Pelodiscus sinensis: one gene and its partners. The main gene of each other region encodes a partner of the protein of the gene in region 3 in a complex. Links are inferred from orthologs where the notes say so. Each region holds a gene or a part of one and is shown on either strand. Other genes may lie near its edges.

The links. The genes of interacting proteins can lie anywhere in the genome.
Region 1: STAC3 (region 3) and CACNG1 share a complex: the UniProt entries of both Homo sapiens proteins name them as parts of the calcium channel complex. The link is inferred for Pelodiscus sinensis from reciprocal best matches to the Homo sapiens genes STAC3 and CACNG1.
Region 2: STAC3 (region 3) and CACNB1 share a complex: the UniProt entries of both Homo sapiens proteins name them as parts of the calcium channel complex. The link is inferred for Pelodiscus sinensis from reciprocal best matches to the Homo sapiens genes STAC3 and CACNB1.

What each region holds. Positions count from the first base shown.
Region 1 is NC_134730.1:21,672,456-21,680,013, reverse strand, and holds the start of CACNG1 (voltage-dependent calcium channel gamma-1 subunit), read left to right. Parts: upstream 1-4,544; 5' UTR 4,545-4,723; coding exon 4,724-4,964; intron 4,965-7,558. UniProt on the Homo sapiens protein: Regulatory subunit of the voltage-gated calcium channel that gives rise to L-type calcium currents in skeletal muscle. Regulates channel inactivation kinetics.
Region 2 is NC_134739.1:12,091,648-12,099,342, reverse strand, and holds the start of CACNB1 (voltage-dependent L-type calcium channel subunit beta-1), read right to left. Parts: upstream 3,015-7,695; 5' UTR 2,945-3,014; coding exon 2,858-2,944; intron 1-2,857. UniProt on the Homo sapiens protein: Regulatory subunit of L-type calcium channels. Regulates the activity of L-type calcium channels that contain CACNA1A as pore-forming subunit.
Region 3 is NC_134729.1:3,046,694-3,053,778, reverse strand, and holds the start of STAC3 (SH3 and cysteine-rich domain-containing protein 3), read right to left. Parts: upstream 3,007-7,085; 5' UTR 2,820-3,006; intron 1,569-2,819; 5' UTR 1,568-1,568; coding exon 1,502-1,567; intron 674-1,501; coding exon 418-673; intron 45-417; coding exon 1-44. Other genes in the region: R3HDM2 (R3H domain-containing protein 2), read right to left, coding at 5,092-5,438, 6,939-7,023. UniProt on the Homo sapiens protein: Required for normal excitation-contraction coupling in skeletal muscle and for normal muscle contraction in response to membrane depolarization. Required for normal Ca(2+) release from the sarcplasmic reticulum, which ultimately leads to muscle contraction.

The DNA of each region.
Region 1 (7,558 bases), on a different chromosome or scaffold from region 3:
CCCAAGAGATTCCCCACAAGGGTTTATTCTAGACCAGTGGTCCCCAACCTTTCAAGGTTGCCGGGCGCCAGGGGGCGGGGCCGTTCGCCCGCCAGGCGCCAGGGGGCGGGGCCGTTCGACCGTTGGGCGCCAGGGGGCGGGGACACTTGCGCCCCGGGGGAGGCCCCCCCCATAGCCACATGCCCGGGGACGGCCCCCCCCATAGCCGCATGCCCGGGGCCGGCGCTCCCCCCGCCATGCGCCGCGCGCCCGGGGCCGGCGCTCCCCCCGCCATGCGCCGCGTGCCCGGGGCCGGCGTTCCCCCCACCATGCGCCCGGGGCCAGGCCAGCCCCGAGCACCTGGCAGGCGCATGGAAATGCCCCTGCGGGCGCCATGGCACCCGCAGGCACCGTGTTGGGGACCACGGTTCTAGACCATTCTAGTAGGGTAGGGTTCCAAACCCTGCTCCTCTCCACACACACAGATTTGCCACAGAATGGAGATCAAGGGCTCCCAGAGAGGCCAGGGTTGTCTGCACAGAGACCCTGGACCCTGGACCCTCATCTTGTTTCCAGGATCTTCTAGTCCAGTGTTTCTCAAACTGTGCTCCGCGGAGCCCCAGGGCATCTCCAGGGGCTCCGCAAGGTTGACAAACTGGACAAACTAGAAACATTGATAAGTACAACACGTACAAGCAGTGGACCGCTGGGGCTCCGCATAAATTTTTACGCATGTAAAGGGCTCCAGAGCTCCAAAAGTTTGAGAACTGCTGTTCTAGTCTCCCTCAGCTCCATAGTAGCCCCATATCTTTGGACATCCCTGCTGGCATCTCCCCCACTTCTGTAGTCCACTGTCATATGATACACAGTAAGTACAAACCAGAGTTGCTACTACAGGCTCCACCTGGATTAAATTAGGTAGAGATTCTCCCTCAGCGTTCTTTGTTGAAAATAGTTTTATGCTACAAAAACATTTGTGGAAAAAATGAAAATATGTGTCCATTTTTTGTGGCAATAACGTGGTGGAGGTGTTGTTCTACAGGTGTTCTTTTTGACAAGGAAAAGTTTTTGTTCCAAAAATACTGGCAAACTCTACTTATCTACCTCCAACAGGATGCTGCAAAGCTTAACTAATATAGAGCATTTGTACCGTGCTTGGAATTTTGCTGTTTGACGGGTGTGACGTAGTGGGGGTACCTGGCTGGTTTCTATGCTGCTGGCTCTGGGGTAACCCCCACTGGCTGCCGTGGGTACCACGACCCAGCAAAACAGGATGAGTCACTATGCAAACCAGTGGCCAGACACCCCCCATGGAGAGGAACAAAGGAAGGTGGAAAGCTGCCCTGGCTGGGGGGCAGGGCGGGAAGAGAGTGAGTGAGTTGCTGGCTGGAAGCATGGAGGAGACAGCCTAGGGAAAGGGACTGGAGTTTAGGGGCCCAGTCTCCCCCATCTCAAGGGGGCCTGAGGCATCCTAGCCCAGCTCTGTGACCAGATTACATCTATGCTGTGCTGTATCCTGGAGAGGCAATAAACTTCCTCTATTACACCGGCTGGTGCAGTCTGTTTGTGCCATTTCGGGGTGCAGGAGACGGGGACCCCCAACGCACCGTCACAACGGGTCCCCAGGGTTCCTTCCCTGCAACATTCCCCCTGCCACCACAATCCCACCAGGCTCTCGGTGGGGCACCAACACTCAGCCAGGCCTCTGCTTTGTGATGTCCAAGCAGTGTTCTCACACCAGTTCAAGTCCTCTGAGGCTCAGCCCTCTGGCTGGGCCCTGGATAATCCACCCTGTCCACAACTGTAAAAAAAATAGAACAAAAGGGAAAGTAACACAAATGAAACATCCCAACTCTGGGTTAAGATTCAGTTTCTTCAGGCTGATTTCTCATCACGCTGTGGCCCTAAATTGAATTTACAGGTGAAAAGAGAGGTAAAGTTCCCTCTCAAGACAAGGAAATACAACAAAGGGATAGAGAATAAGACAGAGAATATCTCATTGCCTTTGTATAACTCCATGCTTCGCCCACATCTTGAATACTGCCTACAGATGTGGTCGCCTCATCTCAAAAAAGATATTTTAGCATTGGAAAAAGTTCAGAAAAGGGCAACAAAAATGATTAGAGGTTTGGAACTGCTGCCATATGAAGAGAGATTAAAAAGACGTGGACTTTTTGTCTTGTTAGAAAAGAGGAGACTAAGGCGGGATATGATGGAGGTCTATAAAATCATGACTGGTGTGGAGAAAGTGAGTAAGGAAAAGTTATTTACTTGTTCCCATAATATAAGAAATTAATAGGTCACAGGTTTAAAACGAACAAAAGGAAGTATTTTTTGATGCAATGCACAGTCAACCTGTGGAACTCCTTGCCAGAGGATGTTGTGAAGACCAGGACTTTAACAGGATTCAAAAATGAACTATATAAATTCATGGAGGATAGGCCCATCAATGCTTATTAGCCAGGATGGGCAGGAATGCTGACTGTAGTCTTTTTTGGCAGAGCCTGGGAATGGGTGACCAGGGAGGGATCACTTGATGGTTATCAGTTCTGCTTATTTCCTCTGGGGCACCTGGCATTGGCCACTGTCAGAAGGCAGGATCCTGCACTAGACAGACCTTTGTTCTGATCCAGTATGGCCCTTTGTATGTTCTTATTCTTATGTAACATCTAGCTAACTGGCTGGCCAGCTCACCCAGTTATCAGAGGAGTTTCTGTCTTCTCCTGGCCCTCTCTTCAGGAGCAGAGGGCTGAAGGTCTGCTCTCTTCCATGGACTGCCCTCACCTGAGCTGTGTTTCTCCCTTTGAAGCTCCTCCATCCAATTCTGACACCTCTCAGATGTGAGGGAGCAGGCCACCTGAAACCATATTAGCTCATTCACCTGTGCTGCCCGGGATGGGGTTGTATACCCCATCACAGAGGGGAAAGTACCATAATGGCCAGCTATAGCTTTAGGACAGTGATGTGTTTAAGACCAAATCATTCTGCTTTTCTAGGCTCGTTCTACTTCTCTTCTCTGCAAGAAGCCAACTGTGGCTCTTTACTCTATTTTCAAGACCACAACCAAGGCCGGCTAAAAACCTACCACACACGCGCACTGGTAGAAGACAAAGCGCGATGCGACAGAGCGGAGCACAAGGGCCAGGTACCGCCCCACCTCCATGAAACAAGCATTGATGGCCTGCTGACAAACCCGGCTTCAGTCACCTATTTGCCAGATATGCACAGCAGCATACCAGCAGCTACTGAGCCGGTCACACGCTAGCTCTTTTAGTTACGGTCCTTTGGGAGGCGAGCCTGGAAAAAGAGAAAAACTGTTGGGCTGTGGAAAATGCTTTTCCCCTCAGCGTTGTATTTAATTTGTATCCTTCCCCACTCCAGCCCTAAGTAGGCGCTTGCTGACGGGTGAAGAGATTCTCTTTCAGTGGTGCTGCAGACATTCCTTGGTCAGACTCGTGGCTGATTGTTAATTTTGGCTGATGAATACCTAAACCAAGTGTTCACAGATAGCATGAAAGGTTTTCAGTAGTCCTGGTCTGTAGATAGTGGGCACCGTGGTTCCATGGCCCTGGGGTATAGACAGGTGGGATTCATAGGTGGGTTAAAAGGAAGTATTTCTTCATGCAATACACAGTCAACCTGTGGAACTCCTTGCCAGAGGATGTTGTGAAGATCAGGACTTTACCAGAGTTCAAAAAAGAGCTAGATAAATTCATGGACGTTAGGTCCATCAATGGCTATTAGCCAGGATGGGTAGGAATGGCGTCCCTAGCCTCTGTTTGTCTGGAGCTGAAAATAGATGACAGAGCAGAGATTACTTGATGATTCCCTGTTCTGTTCAATCCTTCTGGGGGCACCTGGCATTGGCCACTGTTGGCTGACAGGATACTGGGCTAGATGGACCTTTGGTCTGACCCAGTATGGCCATTCGTATGTTGTCATGGGATTAAACCTAGGACTTTAGGTGCTAAAGTCATGAGCTTCTACCTCACGATCTAAAAGCCAACCGACTTGTAGCTAAAGCTGCAGTGTAGACTTCATTCTCTCTCTCACTGGTCTCAGTGCCACTGAATTATGTGTAGTAAAAACGAGGCTGAACCACAAAATTCTATTCTGAAATCAGAGACAATTCCAGTTCCACCAAAGTTTGGTGTGTTTGGGCCCCTGAAACACTCCAGCCTCGGGGTGTAGGGGAGGGTATCGTTAGAACCAATAATGGATTCTGTGGAAGAAAAGTGGGTTCACCCCCATCTTTATCACAAAGAAAAATGCTTTTACGTTCTAAAAAAGTTTGCACCGGTCTCTGTTCCCAGCCATGCCTTGAGTGAGAAGGGAATGGTCTCATGGCTGTGGATATTAATTACACGGAGCTAGCTTTGCTCTCAGTTGGCTTATGGAACTTGCTGCACAAACCCAGCAGGGACAAGCTTGTAACTGGAGCTCCCGCAGTTACTTTATTCATTAGGTGCATTAATAGAAGCCCCACTCACAAGTCTAGTCACCCTGTCTCCTGATATATTTCAACAGCTGTACATGTGGCCAGCTGTCCAAGCCAGCCCACAACCTGCTCTACTTTTGCAACACACGGATGACATTTGGAATCTATTTGGAAATGCTTAGACACGCCAAGACTTTGGAAGACCACTTGAATAACTTGCAGCTCTCCTTCAAGTAGACAAACAAAACTCGACAGGGCAGTAATCACCGAAAGAGTCTGCCCTATGCGCTCCGGTGCACCCTAGCCATGGACGAAGGCAAAGCACTGAAAATTCGGGTGACTTTCTCTGTTATTTTGGTTGGCGTCTCTTTAATGTTTGCAGCTGTGGTGACTGATCACTGGGCAGTGCTAAGCCATAAAGTGGAGCATTACAATTCCACCTGTGAGGCTGCTCACTTCGGGCTATGGCGGCTCTGCACAAAGCAGTTTTACATCCAAGAACAAGTTACCAAGGAGAGGAGCTGTGGGAAGATAACTCTGACAGGAGGTAGGTGCTTGCATTCATTCCGCATCCACCCCAAAAATGCATGGGAGAAAATGTCAGGCTATTCTTAGTGACGTCTTTTAGGAAGAGAAAAAACATGCTGGAAAAAATGTGATTCTTGCTCCCACTGCACTTGATCTTACAAGATTCAACACGTCAATTTAGTTTTCATATTAGCCTGAAAATACACCTCATTGTCACATTTCGTTGAGGCCTTATCTTAAATGCATGATGCACTTCCACAGTATAGATCTGTGAGCATATTTAGCACACTGCTCTTCAGCTGTTTCCATACAGCACAGAAAGCAGCTGGCATAAAGGGGGCCAGATAGGAGAAGGCAAAAGGCACAGAGAGAAATCAGAAAGAAGGATATTTTCCCACTGATGTTTTTGCTGATATCAACAACCTTGCAAAAGCTATGCTAGGCCTTATAAAGGCCAAACTTCCATTGAGTCCACAGGGAGTTTTGCCTGTGTGGGGATTACGGGGTGGGAATGATATCTGGTTCATTATAAAATGTTTGTAGTTCAGAGCAATATGCCAGAACCTCTTGTTTTTGAAAGTTATTTCAAAGTTATTTAATACTCTTCAGTATTACTTAGGGCAGTGTGGAACTGCATGCAATGGCATAGTTCTCCAAATGCCAAAAAATGCTGTAATTAAGTGAGAAATAATCTATCACTGGCTTATTAGGGCCTCCTTAAATTTCACAGAGTGGCAGAAAGCAAAGGTGCTCTGTGTTTGTGAAGAAAGAAGTCTATTCAGACCCTTTTCTTCATACGGAGTAGTCAGAGATCCTGAAAATAGTCCCATTAAAATCAACGGGAAGCATGGTAGCCTGGCGCCCCTCGCTAGTTTCCTGGAAAGGTATTACATTAGCATGATTTGCAAGTAGTTGTATTACATTTTTGCGGATTGCAAAGTCTGCTGCATTCATGCAACCTGTGCTAATACTCTTTTCCTGACTTTTCCAATTTCAAGAGGCTAATACCAACTTGGATTATTTCCTAGACAGAAATCCCCCTAAATAACAGGATTTCCTTTTGATTAGCACCCCGGGTTGAAGGTACAATTAGATTTTAATATATTTGTAAGATGACTATGAAATCATATAGTGATAATCCTCAACCTGACTAAACTATTTATTATCAGACAGAAGAGGCTGATCCATAGCATTCAGATCCGAGTTCCAATCTGGCATTCCCCCATGTTTGGGGGTGTTTTAATCTGGAGGTTTGCCTTAGTCCCATTTCTGGTTGATATAATAAATACATTTTAATATAGCTAATGACCTTATCAATATCATTTTCTGTGCACATGTAGGAAGCTTTATGTTTAAGGGGAGACAGATTGGGAGAAACACATAAATACCGCGCTTTATTGAATAAATTTATAACTCGTAAATATCCTGCTGGCTCAGTAAAACAGCTTCATCATCTATCCAGCAGAAAAGTGTTAGATAGTTTTGACAGACACCAGCATATGCTTGCATGGACATCTCCCAGCTGAGCTACCCATGCCCTCTGTATTGGCTTCTTAAAGTGCCGAGTAAACAAATAGGTAATTATGGAGCTGAAGGCCTCTCTGCAGAACAGCTTTGACTGAAACAGAGATGACCTTTCATTACGGGAGAGGTGGGCATACTTTTAAAGGGCTTGGCAGATACTCCTGGGATTCAATGGAATTCAGCTTCAAAATCATTATATGCAATAATACTGAATTCTTTCATGCATGTCATCTGAAGTTCTAACAGAGTCCTTTACAACACACTCTACTGTTAGGTACGTGCTATCATCCTCATTTTTACATTAGGGAAACTGAAGCACAAGAAGGGTCCAAGGTTGGCCAGAGGCCAGCCATGCAAAGCATCTATGATAGCACTTGGAAAAGAACTCAGATGTCTTGGCTTTCAGTATTCAACTCTAGCTGCTAGACTACGCAGCTCCAGAAATGGCACTCCTAGTTGTGATGATTCCATATGGCTGAGGAGAAATGCCAGCTGAAGTTGTCAGACTTGGACTACACAAGAAAGAGGAGGGAAACAAAGTTGGAGTAGCTGACCGGTGTGTCAGTAAACCTGTTTTTCTGAAAATCATACGTAGTCACCAGGATTTGAAAAAGTATCATTATTTACTACTGGGTTAATAGTTACCTACCTAGTACTACTCGGGTGGAATAACTAGTATTGCTTCTGTTGTTTATTACTTATTAATCTTAGTGCTGTACTAAATATAGGATACGATTCTGGCCATGTCTTCACTACACGGAAGATCAATGTTGCCACGATCGATCTTCCAGATTGTGATTTAGTGGGTCTAATAAAGACCTGTTAAATCAAACTCGGAAGGTGCTGGTACTGCTGCTCTTTGTGAGATGTTAGGGAAGCTGATGGGAGTGTTTCTCCATCAACCTTTCACTGTGAAGACTGCACAGAAACTCAAATTAAGGTATGTTGACTACAGCTGCATAATTAACAAAGCTGGAGTTGCATATCTTAATTCGACCTTCCCCATTAGCCTACAACTGGCCTTAGAACTTGTGGTCTTATGGTTTAAGGCAGAGAGATTTACAGTTTAACCACACGTTTAAAGGTTGT
Region 2 (7,695 bases), on a different chromosome or scaffold from region 3:
AGCCAGGCAAATGCACACGCGTAGGGAGCCAGCGAACACACCTGCTGCCACTGAGTCATCCCCTGACCAACAGCGCCTGGCAAATGCTCCAAATACCCAGCTGGTGGCACAGACTTAGAAGGAGCCAGCAGCTGAGAGCTGTCCCACAGCCAGCGCGCTTGCCCCATCCTCTACAGCGCCTCCTGCTGGGGGAGGCTGGGGCTGGCAAGATTTCCACCCCACCCGCAGCCAGCCCTCCCTGCAGAATTGTGGCTGGACCCCTCCGCAGCTGTCTCAGAGGGCCCAATCCTGCTCCCCCTCCCCGTCCTCGCCCTGGGACGTCAGTCCCTTCCCAGCTGGTTCCTCCTGAAACTCCCAGTGAGCGCGAGGCCTTTCTGCACAGGACAAGCAGCCGGGACGTGTTGGGGCAGGTCTCGGAATGAGCCATCTCAGAGGGACAGCTGGGCCCAGTTGCTGCCCAGCCCACAGACACGTGGTCCCTGCGCAGGGCAGGAGTTGGTATTTTTAGGATTCCTCCCCACCCCCATCGCTCCAATCAGGGTCCATCCATCAGTCACATTCCCTGCACCCGCGGTGGGTGGCTGGGATTCCCCATCCAGGGGGCTGGTGCAGGGTTTCGTCTGTAACGAAATAGCTGCAAGCCTGTTTTTTACATTCACAATGAACCCTGCAAGCCCAGAGGCCTTGGAGCTACGAACCGCCAAGCCTAGAGAGGCCGAGGCTCAGCCCTGGCACAAGTTAAGCTCTTGACTGGTGGCCCTCCAGGTGGGGAAGGGTTAACCGGAGCCATGTCCTAAGCTGGTGGAGGCTGGGTTTGTGTTTCCCAGCCCTGTGGTCCATCCAGACATGGGTAACCCTTCCCCTTCTCCACCCTGCTAAGTAGCCCTGAGCAACAGATCCAACCAGCGACTGGTACCCCCGGCAGGCACTGGTATCCCAACCAGATACTGGTATCCCAACCAGATACTGGTACCCCCAGCAGGCACTGGTATCCCAACCAGATACTGGTACCCCCGGCAGGCACTGGTATCCCAACCAGATACTGGTACCCCCAGCAGGCACTGGTATCCCAACCAGATACTGGTACCCCCAGCAGGCACTGGTATCCCAACCAGATACTGGTACCCCCGGCAGGCACTGGTATCCCAACCAGATACTGGTACCCCCGGCAGGCACTGGTATCCCAACCAGATACTGGTACCCCCAGCAGGCACTGGTATCCCAACCAGATACTGGTACCCCAGCAGGCACTGGTATCCCAACCAGATACTGGTATCCCCAGCAGGCACTGGTATCCCAACCAGATACTGGTATCCCCAGCAGGCACTGGTATCCCAACCAGATACTGGTATCCCCAGCAGGCACTGGTATCCCAACCAGATACTGGTACCCCCGGCAGGCACTGGTATCCCAACCAGATACTGGTATCCCCGGCAGGCACTGGTATCCCAACCAGATACTGGTACCCCCAGCAGGCACTGGTATCCCAACCAGATACTGGTACCCCCAGCAGGCACTGGTATCCCAACCAGATACTGGTACCCCCAGCAGGCACTGGTATCCCAACCAGATACTGGTATCCCCAGCAGGCACTGGTATCCCAACCAGATACTGGTATCCCCAGCAGGCACTGGTATCCCAACCAGATACTGGTACCCCCGGCAGGCACTGGTATCCCAACCAGATACTGGTATCCCCGGCAGGCACTGGTATCCCAACCAGATACTGGTACCCCCAGCAGGCACTGGTATCCCAACCAGATACTGGTATCCCAACCAGATACTGGTATCCCCAGCAGGCACTGGTATCCCAACCAGATACTGGTACCCCAGCAGGCACTGGTATCCCAACCAGATACTGGTATCCCCAGCAGGCACTGGTATCCCAACCAGATACTGGTACCCCCAGCAGGCACTGGTATCCCAACCAGATACTGGTACCCCCAGCAGGCACTGGTATCCCAACCAGATACTGGTACCCCCAGCAGGCACTGGTATCCCAACCAGATACTGGTACCCCCAGCAGGCACTGGTATCCCAACCAGATACTGGTACCCCCAGCAGGCACTGGTATCCCAACCAGATACTGGTATCCCCAGCAGGCACTGGTATCCCAACCAGATACTGGTATCCCCAGCAGGCGACATCACAACAATGTATCTGTGCTGGTATCCCCACCTCCTCCTCCATCGGGCAGTGCTACACCAAACCCCACAGCGGGTTTCCAGCAGGGGTGAAGTACCCCTTTAGTATCCACTAGCAAGCAGAAGGGGAAATAAAGAGGCGTGGTGCCTCTGGATTGGATCTACCAAATTACCCCGTCTGCTCCAAAGTTTCCCGGCGCGAGCCCCAGAGGAGGCATAGTGGCACCCCGGGGGCCCCTCCGGGCCAGGACTGGCCCAGTCTCACAGACCCTTCAGCATTGTGACCCACATTTTCCAGACGGGGAGACCACGGTGACACAGCAAACAAGGGCAGCTAGGTCCCCCGCAAGACCACCCGCTTCCACCCCTAGGACCCACCCACCCCCTTGCTCACCTCCCTGGTGACCTCTGGGCACAGGATGGGGGGCACGTGGGGCCCCCGCTTTGCCTGGTGGGTGCCAAGGGGGGGGGGGGTTTCAGCTGAGCTGGAACCCGGCGAGAGCAGCGAGAAGGGCGGGGGCAGAAAGCTGCCAGGCTGCGAACCTGCCTCCGATCCCCCCGCATCGGTTCGAGCCCGTCTCAGCCCCCCTGCACTTTCCAGCAACCCCCTCGGAAAAGCAAAGGGCAGCGGGTCATGGGCCGGTTCCGATCCGGTCCGGTCCATCCCCCCGGTATTTCTGGCTGCAGCCCCCCTCCGGGGGGGGGGGGACCCACCTGCAGGCCGGGGTGCTCGAACACGTCCATCTGGATCTCCTGGGTGGAGCTGCGGGGTGTCCGGGCCATGCCGCCCTCCCGCACCATGGAGCTCGCGGCGGCTCGGCCTGGCTCGCCCCGGACTCGTGTCCCAAGCCAGCCCCGGCAGAGGAGGAGCCCGGGGCGGGGGCGGGGGCGTGTGGGGGCGGCAGCCGCCCGGCCCCTCCCGGCGGCCACACAATGCGCAGGCAGGCGGGGGAGGGAGGGAGGGGGGTGGCGAGAGGCGGGGGCGAGCCCCGGGGCTCGCCGGCCCGGAGGGGGCGGGGTGTGGTCCGAGCGCCCCCCCCCCCCCACAGAGCGATGTGGGGGGGTCTGCAAGCAGGCAAAGACCCCCCCCTCCGGCTTTGGAACTCCCCCCCCCCCCGATCCTCCCCCCCTACCGAGGGGCCTGGCTGCCAGCAGCGCTAAGTGGGGGGGGCAGATGTCAGGAGATGTCCCCCGTCATGGGGATTCCCGAAGGGGGGGGCTCATGCCTCCCTACTCCCCACAGAGCCCCCCCCCAAACCCACGGCCATGGCTGGGCGCAGGGCTCCAGTGATGGGTCCGCTCCCCCCTGCCCAGGGACCATGGGGGGCACTGCTGCCCCCCCTCAGATCCTGCAGAGAGCTGGCCCTGGGTATTTTACTGCCACTCTTTTCAAGCCCGCCCCCCAGGCCACTGCTCCAGCCCACCAAAAGCTGGATCCCGCCTCCCTGCAACTGGCTGTGGGGGGTTGCGGGGATACTCAGCCCCCAGACCTGTTTTATTGGGGGGTCCCGGGTTGGCGTGGCGCTGGGTTGGCTCTCAGCGCTAACCTGCTACCCGCCCGGTAACCTGCTACCCGCCTGGTAAGTTGGATTCCACGCACAGCTCCCCCCATCCCATCCCTGGGCTCCCTCCACACACACTGTCCCCCCTTCTTTCCCTCCCCCCGTCTGCCAGCACCCCTCAGTCCCGACCTCCGCCCAGCAGGTGGTAACCTTGAGAGAGATTTCTGAGTCCCAGGATGGGGACCCCCAGCTGGACCGGTTCCCCTCCCTTCCTGCCAGGCACAGGCTCAATGCGGCCGTGTGGGGGGGCAATACTGCTGGGATGGGAGAGGGGGGAGCTTGGTTGGGAACAGATCTCAGCCTCCCAGAGCCCCTGCCATGAGAGCATGCTGGCCGGTGAGCGGCTGTATTGCTTAGCTGGCCTTATTGTGCAGTGACAGCTGGCCTGGGTCCCAGAGCTCTGCTGCAGGTCGGTAGCTGGTAACCCACCCACCTCTCTCCCCCTGTGCCCTGCCACCTCCTTTCATTCGCCCCCACCACCCTTTGCCAGGAACCTGTCCCCTACCAGAGACTTCCTAGCAGAACCCACCTGCCCCAACACCCCCTGGGGGCTCCCAACAGGCCCTGATGATCCTCAAAGCCCCCCACATGCCCCCCACGTCAGGTAGACTAGGGCACTTGGATGAGCTCCAATTTAGGGTGAGAAGGAGGGAGGGGAAAGGAGTCATTGGGGCCACTTCTTCCCCCACCAGCCACCTGGGAAGCAACTGATGCTGTGGCCAAGACCCTGGAGTAAATGAGGGGGCTGAAGAAAAGTGCACTCCCCTCCCCCCCCCCCGTGCTGCCCCTCCCACCCAGCAACCCAGCTGAGGAATGGAGTCAGGGACTTACCCCCTCCATCTGCCCGGTACTCCTGCCAGGGCATGGGGGACAGGGCAGGGACGCTGGTCCTTCTCCGCCCACTTCGGGGCTCCAGCTGAGGCGTGGGGGTCGGGGCCTTGCAAGCCCTCATGACCCAATTCTGCTCCCCAAGGAGACCACTGGGCGGGTGGAGCAGGACAAGCCCTGCACCCCACCCCCAGGAGAGGGGCAAGCCACCGCACCCCAACCCTGGCAGGATGCTGGACGGGCTGAGCAGGGCCAGCGATGGGGCAGGACCAGAGCTGGGATGGGGGGGAGGGGTTGATAAGTGAGTGGGCTGTGGCCAGCCCATATGCTGTACTCCAGGGGTGGGGAACCTCAGACCCGGGGGCCGAGGCTCAGGGGCCTCTCCCAGTACTGGGTAGCCTGCGCTGGCACTCCAGCCCCACTGCTGCCCCACCATGGGGCTGGAACCACAAAATCTACTAGGCCGGGCCGCCCTAGGCTCTGGTGTGTGAGGGGAATGGGGGGTGGGTCTGTCTCCTCCACTGGGGGCTATGTCAGTGAGGGGTTTCTTGTTTTGGTTTGGTTTTGCTTCCCACTTGTGTGCAGCCCCCGACCTAAAAAAAGTTCCCCAGCCCTGCTGTACGCTCTACACCCCAGTACAGAGGAAGCCCCATGACAGGCGACAGGGGGAGAGAATTCACGTGGCTGGTGGGGGTCTGTGGCTAAGTAGGAAAGAATTGGGGGGGCTTGGCTCTGTGTTTCCCCACCTCCCTCCCTTGTCTCGCCACCCGCTAGGCCACAGCTCGCTTTGGCAGGGATCCTGAGCGTAGGGAAGTGCCCTCACCCCACTGGAGCATGACAGCAGCCCCATGACCACCCCTTCACCTCGCAGAGACTGGGGGCCAGTCCCAAGGGGGTGCAGCGGGGTGCGGTGGATTCACTCCGGAGAGCTGGCTCCAGCCCCGGCCTGCGCAGCTGGGAGACAAACTATCCAAGCACCAGGGCAGGCGAAGCAGGAGAGCTTTTCCATTATTAGAACCCATCCATCACGGGCGGGCTGAGGCGTGACTGCAGAAACCAGCACTGAATCCCATTTCACCTCCACCGGAGAAACCAGGCATGGAGAGAATGACTTGCCCAAGGTCACGCAGCTAATCGGTGGCAGAACCAGGTGTAGACTCCAGCCCCCCTGTTAGGCTCTAGCATCCCCCCCTCTCCGCCCCCATTTCAGAGGGTGGGGATACAGCTCAGATGACTGGGACTATACAAGTCCGGACCCCAAAGAAGCAAAGAGGGGGTCTTTTGAACCCCAAAAGACTAAGCAATTGAATCAACCAATTGTACACAATGTGAGTGCAGAAGAGTATGTCAAGTAAGGCCTCTAAGGAAAGTTGGTGATGTTCTGAACTTGCTGGGCATTAGGAGATCTGCACGCAGGGCATACACGCATGTGAAAGTTGTAATTGTAAACTACAACATCACCTGGCATATAAGGCAGGGAGGTGCACCAGGCCAGCTGTTTCCACGGAACCAACTTCAGCGACTCGTCCATCCTTCAGCTGGGAAAAGACAATGCTGGGACCACTAGAGTTAATGGAAAGACAAGGAGACAGCTGGGAATTCCCACACACACACCAATGAGTCACCAGGCCAGAAAGAAGGGGAAGGGGGGAAGCCTTTTACTAGCAGGCTTATGTTGCATCAGAGGCTTTCTCTACACCTAAAAGTTTCAAGCGCAGCAGCTTTAAGCTATGGATGTAAACAAGTAGTCGAGTATACGATTAACCGGTAAGACTAGGCTTATCGGTTAATCTTCTCAACTACTTGCATCCCGCCCAGCCTTGCTGCCTCTGTATCAGAGGCAGCAAGTGGGATGGGGCAGGAGCCGGTGCTGCAGGGAGCCACCTTAAAAGGTAGATTCCTCCCAGCACCGGTTCTGCCATGCCGCCAGCCCCCCAGCATGGGGGGGCAGGAGAGGCTGCACAGGAGCAGGGGAGGCATCGCACGGAACAGCCTCTATCCTCGGACAGCTCAGACCCCCCCACGGACGGGGCTACTGCCACCCTGCACTGCTGCCTCTGTATCAGAGGCAGCAGCATGGGGTGGCAGGCAGGCAGCTGGTCTGCTTGGGGAGTTGGTTTTTAAACTGGCTCCCCTCACGGACCGGCTCCCTCCTGGCACCTTGCGCTGCTGCCTCTGATACAGAGCTCTCCCAGGCCAGCGCTCTATGTAAACCACATCCATGAGGAGAGTAGCAAACAGCACTGTAGCCTGGTTCCCATTGGCACTTTACAGCGCTGTAACTTCTGCACTTGGCGGGGGGTTGTTTTTTCACACTCCTGAGCCAGAAAGATGCAGCACTGTGAAGTGCCAAGGTAGACGCAGCCTTTGCATGAAGGTTTTTTCCCAGAAACTGAGGGCAGCCTGTCCGTGAAACCCTGGATTCTCCCTAGGACAGGTGTGCTGGGAAACTGTTCGGAGGGAATAGAAAAGGGGATTTGTCTAATAAACAAGCGTAAAGCCAGAGGTTGCGTCTTTCCATTTCAATTCCGTGTGACGGGTCCGCGTTTGCTTTCTCTTACCTGTTCACCTTTGAATCTGCAGTTTTTTCCATAGTAAATAAAATTACTTCTACCCCCAGAGCGTCCCAGCGACATTCAAACTGCCCCTGCCTCTTCATCCCAAACTCAAACCCAGCTCTGAGTCAATACAAGCCGGTTCCCGGTTCCAGTCAGGAGTGAAGTAGGTTTCCTCCCTGCAGAGGATCCCAACTTTGGGGCGGTTCCCTGATCCAGATGTGACTCCCGCCCGTCTCCCGCTCCTGACAGGGGGATGCCAGGCCCGATTTGAAATGACCTCTTCAGACTAGGGATGGAAATGGGCAATTGGTACTCGGCCACAGCCCCCCACCTACAGTCTGCCATCAGCAGCAGCAGCACCCCTGTTGCCAGCGGCAACCACTCTGGGACCAGGACCAAGATCCCGCGTAGTTAGGTTAACCAGTTAAACATTGGGTTAACCGAACGTTTAACCGGTTAACTGATTAGTGGGGATTTTCCATCCCTACTCCAGACCAGCAGGGGCTGGGAGATTTGGGGAGAAGGATGCTGTTTAGAGAAACCCCTGTGTATCCCCTCTTCCCAGCTAGGCCAAGGGAGATGGCCTTTTCTGAGGGTTCAGGGC
Region 3 (7,085 bases):
GTTGGTTTTGCAGTTCTTGCACCGCAGGCCGAATTTGTTGTTGACTGGGGGGGAGGGGAGGAAGAATCGATGAAACGTCCCAGCCCTGGAACCTGCTCGGCTAGAGACCCCCCCATCCAGGGGTCACAGCTCAGGGGTGCGGGTGGGGCCTGGATGGGGACCGGGTTCAGGGCTGGTACGGGGCCTTTGGAGCAGCAAAGGCGGGGCGGTACCCCCCGTGACAGAGCCCCTGGGAGCCGATGTCTCCATGAGGGGGGGCCTCTGCCAGGCCCCTCCAGCCCCCCCCAGCCAGGCAGCAGGGGCCCGTTACTGCCCCCCGGACTGGCAAAGGTGCCGGGGGGGCCAAGTCCCGGCCTGGGCCCGACCCTGCTCCTGGGCCGTCCCACACCTCAGCCACGCTGCCCCCCCCCCACTCACGGACGATCATGCGGGCGCAGACGTCGCAGAACTTGGGCTTTTTGAAGTAATGATCCTTGAACTTGTGGGGCTTGTCGTTGACGGGCTTCTGGGGCTCCGGGGGCGGCTCCGGCTCCTCCTCCTCCTCCTCCTCTTCCTCCTCGTAGATGTAGTAGATGGGCCCCCCCGTGGGGCTGACCAGCTCCCCGTTGGGCTGCGGCTCGGGCGCCGGCTCCTCCTTGGGCTTCCGCTGCAGCAGCCGCTTCAGCGCCCCGAGCTGGGGGGAGACACCGGGCACCTGGGAGACACCCACAGCCCTCCCCGGGGGAAACCGAGGCACGGGCAGGGACGGGGGCTTGCCCCAGGGTTCCGTGGGGAGTCAGAAGCAGCCACTGGGCAAAGAGCCCAGGAGTCCACCCCCCCAGGGCACCGGGCCGGGCGTTCGCCCTGCAGGCTGGCACTGCCGGGGTGGGGAGGCCACTGCCCCAGGAGGGTGGTAGGAACCCAGACGGGGCCCTGGCCCCTCTGGGCTCCGCACTCCCAGGCCTCTGGGGGGGGGCTAGAGCTGCCTTGGCTGCCCACGTCTGCACCCCCAGCTGGCTCCACCCCCTCGCTAAGTTCTCAGTGCCGGGGCAGAGCCCTGCAGGGGGTGGGCGCGGCGGCGCGGCAGGGGGCACAGAGCAGTGGGGCTCCCAAGCCCAGGAGCATGATGAGCCGGTCCCCACCCTACCCCTCCTCCAGCAAAGGGCAGGGGCCAGCGGCCCCCCAGGGAATTGGCGCTGCCCGGCCTGGGGGAGGGCTCAGCCCCTCACCCCCGTGGGGCCCTGCTCCAGCAGGGAGTGAACCCCGACACCCCCAACTCATCGGATCGAAGGCCCCGGCGCTGGCCTGGGGCTGGGAACGTGGGGTGCGCTGGGACTCAGCCTGGCTGCCCCACCAGCCACCCCCGGCCCAGCCAGCGCCCCTCGATCTGGGGCGGGGGGAGCCCAGACTGAATCTCAAACCGTTGGGGGGGTCTCAGCCACTGGGAGCCACATCCCCCCATCCGGCAGCCGTCGCAGGGGGACAGGGCAGGCTCCGGGGCCGATCCTGTGGGCGCACTTACCCCGCTCCCTGGCTTCCCTCCCGGTGCGGGTGAGGCCGGCGGCGCCAGCGCCTCCTTCTCCGTCATGCTGCAAGGGGGAGCAGAGGGGTCACGGGGGCTCCCCAGCCACCCCCACTAACCGGCAGCCAAGTGACAATGCCGCAGGATGAGCGAGCACCGCACCCCCTGCCCCACGGCAGCGCCAGCTGGGCCCTGCTCAGGGATCCACGGGCACAGGAGTCCTGGGGCCTGCCCATGGTGCCAGGCTTGTGCGATGAGCAACCCGCCCGGGGACTGGCAAGGGCCGGGCACCCCCAAGAGGAGACAGCACCAGGCCCCCAACCTCCTGGTCGCCCCCTTTCTGCTGTGCCTGGTGGCACCTCGCCCACAGCCCCCCGCACGCCCGGCCCAGGAACACTGGCGTAAGTCCTGGCGTCCGACGAGCCCCTCACCCCCCAGCTCGCAGGGGTGTGTTACCCCTGCTGTGTGTGTCAGACGCGGGAGGGGGTCTGTGCGCGTGTGGGCCAGTCCCAGGAGGGCGTGTGTGTGTGGGGGGAGAGGGGGGGCAGTTGCAAGAGGGTGTGTGCACAGGGGGGCAGTCACAGGAGGGCGTGTGTGTATGTGCGCGGGGGGGCCAGTCACAGGAGGGCGTGTGCGCGGGGGGGCCAGTCACAGGAGGGCGTGTGTGTGGGGGGGGGGTTGCAGGAGGGTGTGTGCGCGGGGGGGGCCAGTTGCAGGAGGGTGTGTGTGTGTGTGTGTGGGGAGGGGGGAGTCACAGGAGGGTGTGTGCGCGGGGGGGCCAGTCGCAGGAGGGTGTGTGTGTGGGGGGGGGTTGCAGGAGGGTGTGTGCGCGGGGGGGCCAGTCGCAGGAGGGTGTGTGTGTGTGGGGGGGGTTGCAGGAGGGTGTGTGCGCGGGAGGGCCAGTCGCAGGAGGGGGTGTGTGTGTGTGGGGGGGTTGCAGGAGGGTGTGTGCGCGGGGGGGCCAGTCACAGGAGGGGGTGTGTGTGTGTGTGGAGGGGGGAGTCACAGGAGGGTGTGTGCGCGGGGGGGCCAGTCGCAGCAGGGTGTGTGTGTGTGTGTGTGTGTGTGTGTGGCAGCAAGGGCAGGCCACTAGTAATAGCAAAGGCGGGGAGAGGGGGAGCCTTTGGGCATCCTGGCTGCTGGCCAGCCCCCTTGCCCCAATGTGGAAGGGAAGGGGGCATCTGAGACAGGTGGGCAGCAGTGGACAGAGGAGAAACCCAGCAAGAGGTGTGTGGGTGCACACGCGTGTGGCGAGTGCGGGTGGGTGCACACGCGTGTGGCGAGTGCGGGTGGGTGCACACGCGTGTGTAAGACTCACCTCTGAGCTTCGGGCTCCCTCCCGCTGGATAAATCCTCCCCGAAAGCCGCTCAGTGCCCCACAGAGACGGGCCCCGGCTCAGAGCCCCTCGGCCGAGCCAGCACCGGGCTGCACGGGGCGCGCGGCTGGAGACGGACTGACAGGGCGAGAGGGGAGCGAACAGCTGAGCCCCATCGGGGAGGCTGACGCTGAGAAATCGGAGCTTGCACACGAGCCGGCCTGGCCGGCAGGAGCTGCTGGCTGCTTGCCCGGTGGGGCCGGTGGACGCGGCCTAAGGCAGCCAGCCCAGCCCCAGGTGGGACGGGGGGGGGGGTTGGTTCCCACGGCCCGGTCACCAGGGACAGGGTGAGCCTGCGGCCTTTGGCTCCCTGCAGACACGGGGCTCTGGCAGGCTGGGGGGAGCCCCTCGGCGCTCGCCCCCCCCCACGCAGGGCCTGAGCCGCCTTGGGGCTGCTCTCGCTTGCACTCAGCCCCTGGGGCTGCAGACGATACCCACAATGCAGTGCGTGCGGGGCAGGCCGGAGCCCCTCCCTGTGCAGGCTCTGATGGGGGGCGGCTCTCAGGGGCCTCGAGCTGCCACCAGCCCTTGTCCCTGGGGGCTCTCACCCCGTCCCTGCTGCCGCCGGGTGCCCCTGCCTGTGGCGAACGCCGGGTGCTCAGGGACCGGGGCCGCTGCCGGGTGGCAGGCTCCAGGCCCCACTCCGCCGCCGGGCGCCGGAGCCCTTGGGGAGCAGGACACGTGTCTCCAAACACGCCCAGGGCCGTTCCCAAGGGGCTCGGCGGCTCCTCGCCTCTGTGCCGGCCGACAGGGAGCCAGGGGCTGAACGCCCAGGGCACGGCTCTAGGACAGGCTGCGCTCCACGGTCACTGGGTCCCGCCTGGGCTACGTCACATCACAGCAGGGAGCTAGGGAGGTAGCAAAGGGGGAGGAAGGGGGGGGACTTCAAAGGGGCAGCGCCGCACGGAGCCCGGGATCAGCTGCTCCGTGTGGCGCTGCCCCTTCGAAACGCCGCTGTGGCATACAAAGGGGCGGCGCCGCACGGAGCCCGGGATCAGCTGCTCCGTGTGGCGCTGCCCCTTCGAAACGCCGCTGTGGCATACAAAGGGGCGGCGCCGCACGGAGCCCGGGATCAGCTGCTCCGTGTGGCGCTGCCCCTTCGAAACGCCGCTGTGGCATACAAAGGGGCGGCGCCGCACGGAGCCCGGGATCAGCTGCTCCGTGTGGCGCTGCCCCTTCGAAACGCCGCTGTGGCATACAAAGGGGCGGCGCCGCCCTCTCGAATAATTGAATAGTCGATGCCAAAATGCATCGACTATTCGATTTGTCAATGACGTGATCTGTAACATCCTTAGGCCGGGCACGGAGCCCCCGCGCTGGGACCGGCGTGTGGTGCCCCGACCAGAGCAGAGCGGGGGCCTGGCACAGACGCCCCCTCCGAAGACACACGGAGGACGCCCCCACCCCTAAGGGCGTGACCCCTTTCGGATGAGTTGGTTGCCCCCTCCAAGGGACGCCCCGTCCTGCTGAGCCCCGGGTCCACTCCCGGCTCTGCTGCCCACACGCGCCAGCCCTGAGGTGAGTGATTCGCCCCCTGCAGACGGCTCTTACCTCCCTGGTGCACCTCGGCTCCCAGCGTTCTGCCCAGCCCGGGCCCCGCACAGGCCCAGGCTGGGCCCTGTGCCTCTTCCGCAGTGAGGGAAGCCAGGCTGGGGCCCAGGGGCTCTCAAGCTGAGGGTCACAACCCTGACAGCCATTCAGGGCAGCGGCTTGGCCTGCTCACTGGTGATGGGGGCACGTCCCTTGGTGATACCCCAGGAGGGGTACAGTGGGGGGGGCTTGCCCTGCGGGGAGGGGGGAGAGAGGGAGGGAGGAGTCCCAGAGCTGCGGGGGGGGGGGGGGTCTGTCGGTAACCCCTCGCGCTGGGCACAGAAATGGGAAGCCGCTTGAAAGTGACAAGATGATTTTTTTTTTTTATATTTAAAAACAAACCCAACCCCCCCGCTCCCTCTGGATTAAATAGACTGTACAGAGACCAGCCCCTGCCAACCGCTGCATGTGCAAGTGAGCGCAGCGCCCGCCGCGGCACAACGCTGGACCCAGCGCAACCTGTGTCCGGGGGGGCAGTGGGGGCGCGTTCCCGGGGGGGGGGGGGGGGAGGAAATGTTCTTCCACTCCAAAAAAAAATAATGATCAATTTCTCATCTCTTCATTGTGTCCATATAAATAGGGGCCGGGCGCGGGGCGGGCGGGGGGGCGGGGCCGGGGGGGCCCCTACTGGGAGCTGGCCCGCTCCAGCACGCGCAGGTCGTAGCTTCTCTTGGCCACGCGCAGCCGGAAGCGGCTGAGGGAGTTGTTGAGGCGCAGCGAGGCGTTCTGGGCGGCCAGCGGGCTGGGGAAGACGGCCACCACGGTGTACAAGGCAGCGAGGTCCGGGTGGCGGCCGTTCTCCGCCGGGCCGTTGTTGTCGCCGGCGCCGCCCCCGGCGCCGCGCCGTCCCCGCGTCTCCTTCAGCCACTGGATCTTGGCCCCGGCCATGGCGAGCTGAGTGAAGAGCTTGTCGGCCTCCGTGCGCGTGATGCCCTCCGGCAGGTCCGTCACCTCCAGCACCCGGCCCAGCACTGCGGGAGACAAGGCCGGGTCAGCGGCTGGGAGGACTAGTGGTTAGCATGGGGGAGGGGAGTGGCGCCTATCGGTTGGAGCAGGGGGCTAGGAGCCAGGACTCCTGGGTTCTACTCCCGGCTCTGGAAGGGGGCCCTCAGTCCCTGCTTGGATGAATTGGTCAAGTCCCAGGGGTGGGAGGCGGGAAGTCCTGGTGCACTCCCAGGTCACCCCCTTCCCCAGCAGGGGCTGTGTAATGCAAGGCCCTGGCGCCCCCAGGCCAGTCCCCACCAGGCGCAGGCAGACAGCTGGCTGTCAAGGGGGAAGTGATCAGCCCCCAAGGCCCCCTGGCGCCCCCAGGCCAGTCCCCTCCAGGCGCAGGCAGACAGCTGGCTGTCAAGGGGGAAGTGATCAGCCCCCAAGGCCCCCTGGCGCCCCCAGGCCAGTCCCCTCCAGGCGCAGGAGGCCAGCTGGCTGTCGAGGGGGAAGCGTCCCGCCAGCCTGGGGAAGTGGGCACGAGGGGCTGAGCACTTGGGGCTCCGCCGGGGCACCTGGCTGTAGCACGGGGCCTTTGCGGACAGCCAGGCAGCCCCAGCCCCTCCGGCTCAGGGCAAACCCGGCTCCCGAGAGGGCAGGGGAGCCAATGCCCAGCGCAGGGCTTCAGTTAGACCCGGCTGAGAACGGAGCTGAGCCGGGCGGTACCCGGGCCGCGCCCGCAGGCTGCAGCTGTCAGGGCCCGGAGCCTGTCCTGGCCGCGGCTGGGGCTCCGTGCGCCAGGCAGCGTGAGCAGCCGTCCCAGGGCCCCAGCAGACCAAATTCTGAGCTAATATTAAACCAGCCTGTAACAGATCCCCAGCCCCTCCCTGCTCTGTTTCCACTGCCCGGGGCGGGAGGGCGGGGGGTTTAAAGGGGCCCTGGCGTCACTGCTGCAGCTGTCTGGGGGTGGGGCAGGCATCTGCCTTGCAGCCTGGCCCCCCTGTCAGCAAGTGCTGACTCTGCTCCCGGGGGGCACTGAGCAACCACCCTACAGGCCCATGGGCACTTCAACCCCTGCCAGCCCTCGGGCAGCGGGCGGAGGCAGCCGCTGGGATCCAGCAGGGAGGGGCAGAGGGCTCCCAGCAAGCCAGCGACAGCTCTGCTCTAACCACTAGACTCCCCTGCCCTCCCTGAGCTGGGAACAGAATCCAGGCGTCCTGGCTCCCAGCCGCCTTAGCCAGTAGGTGCCTCTGCCCCCAGAGGAGGGGATAGAACCCACACGTCGATTCTTCCCCTCCCTTTAAGCACTGGGCAGTGTGCGTGTCCCGGCACACGCTCCCGCCCGCCGCAGCCGTATCTTCGCTCGGCACGGGGCAGGCAGGGCACAGGGGGGCTCTGCTGACACTGCAGATGCCCTCCAAGGGCAGCACTTCCGCAGGCCACGGGTCTCTCTGCTCTAGACCCCAGCGGGTCGTGGCCAGGATCGGGGATTTCCAGCCTGGGCCGCCGGGCGGGAGCAGCCCCCGAGGCCTGTGGCCACTTGCCTACGTCGCTTGTGCCGAGGTCGGTGGACGCGGACTTGAGGGCTTGTCTCTTGCTCCGGTTTCCGTGCTTCATCCCGGTCTGGCCCTGGAAGAGCAAAGCCAGACACTCACCCGGAGAAGGCCCCGGCCCTGCGGAGCTGGGATGCC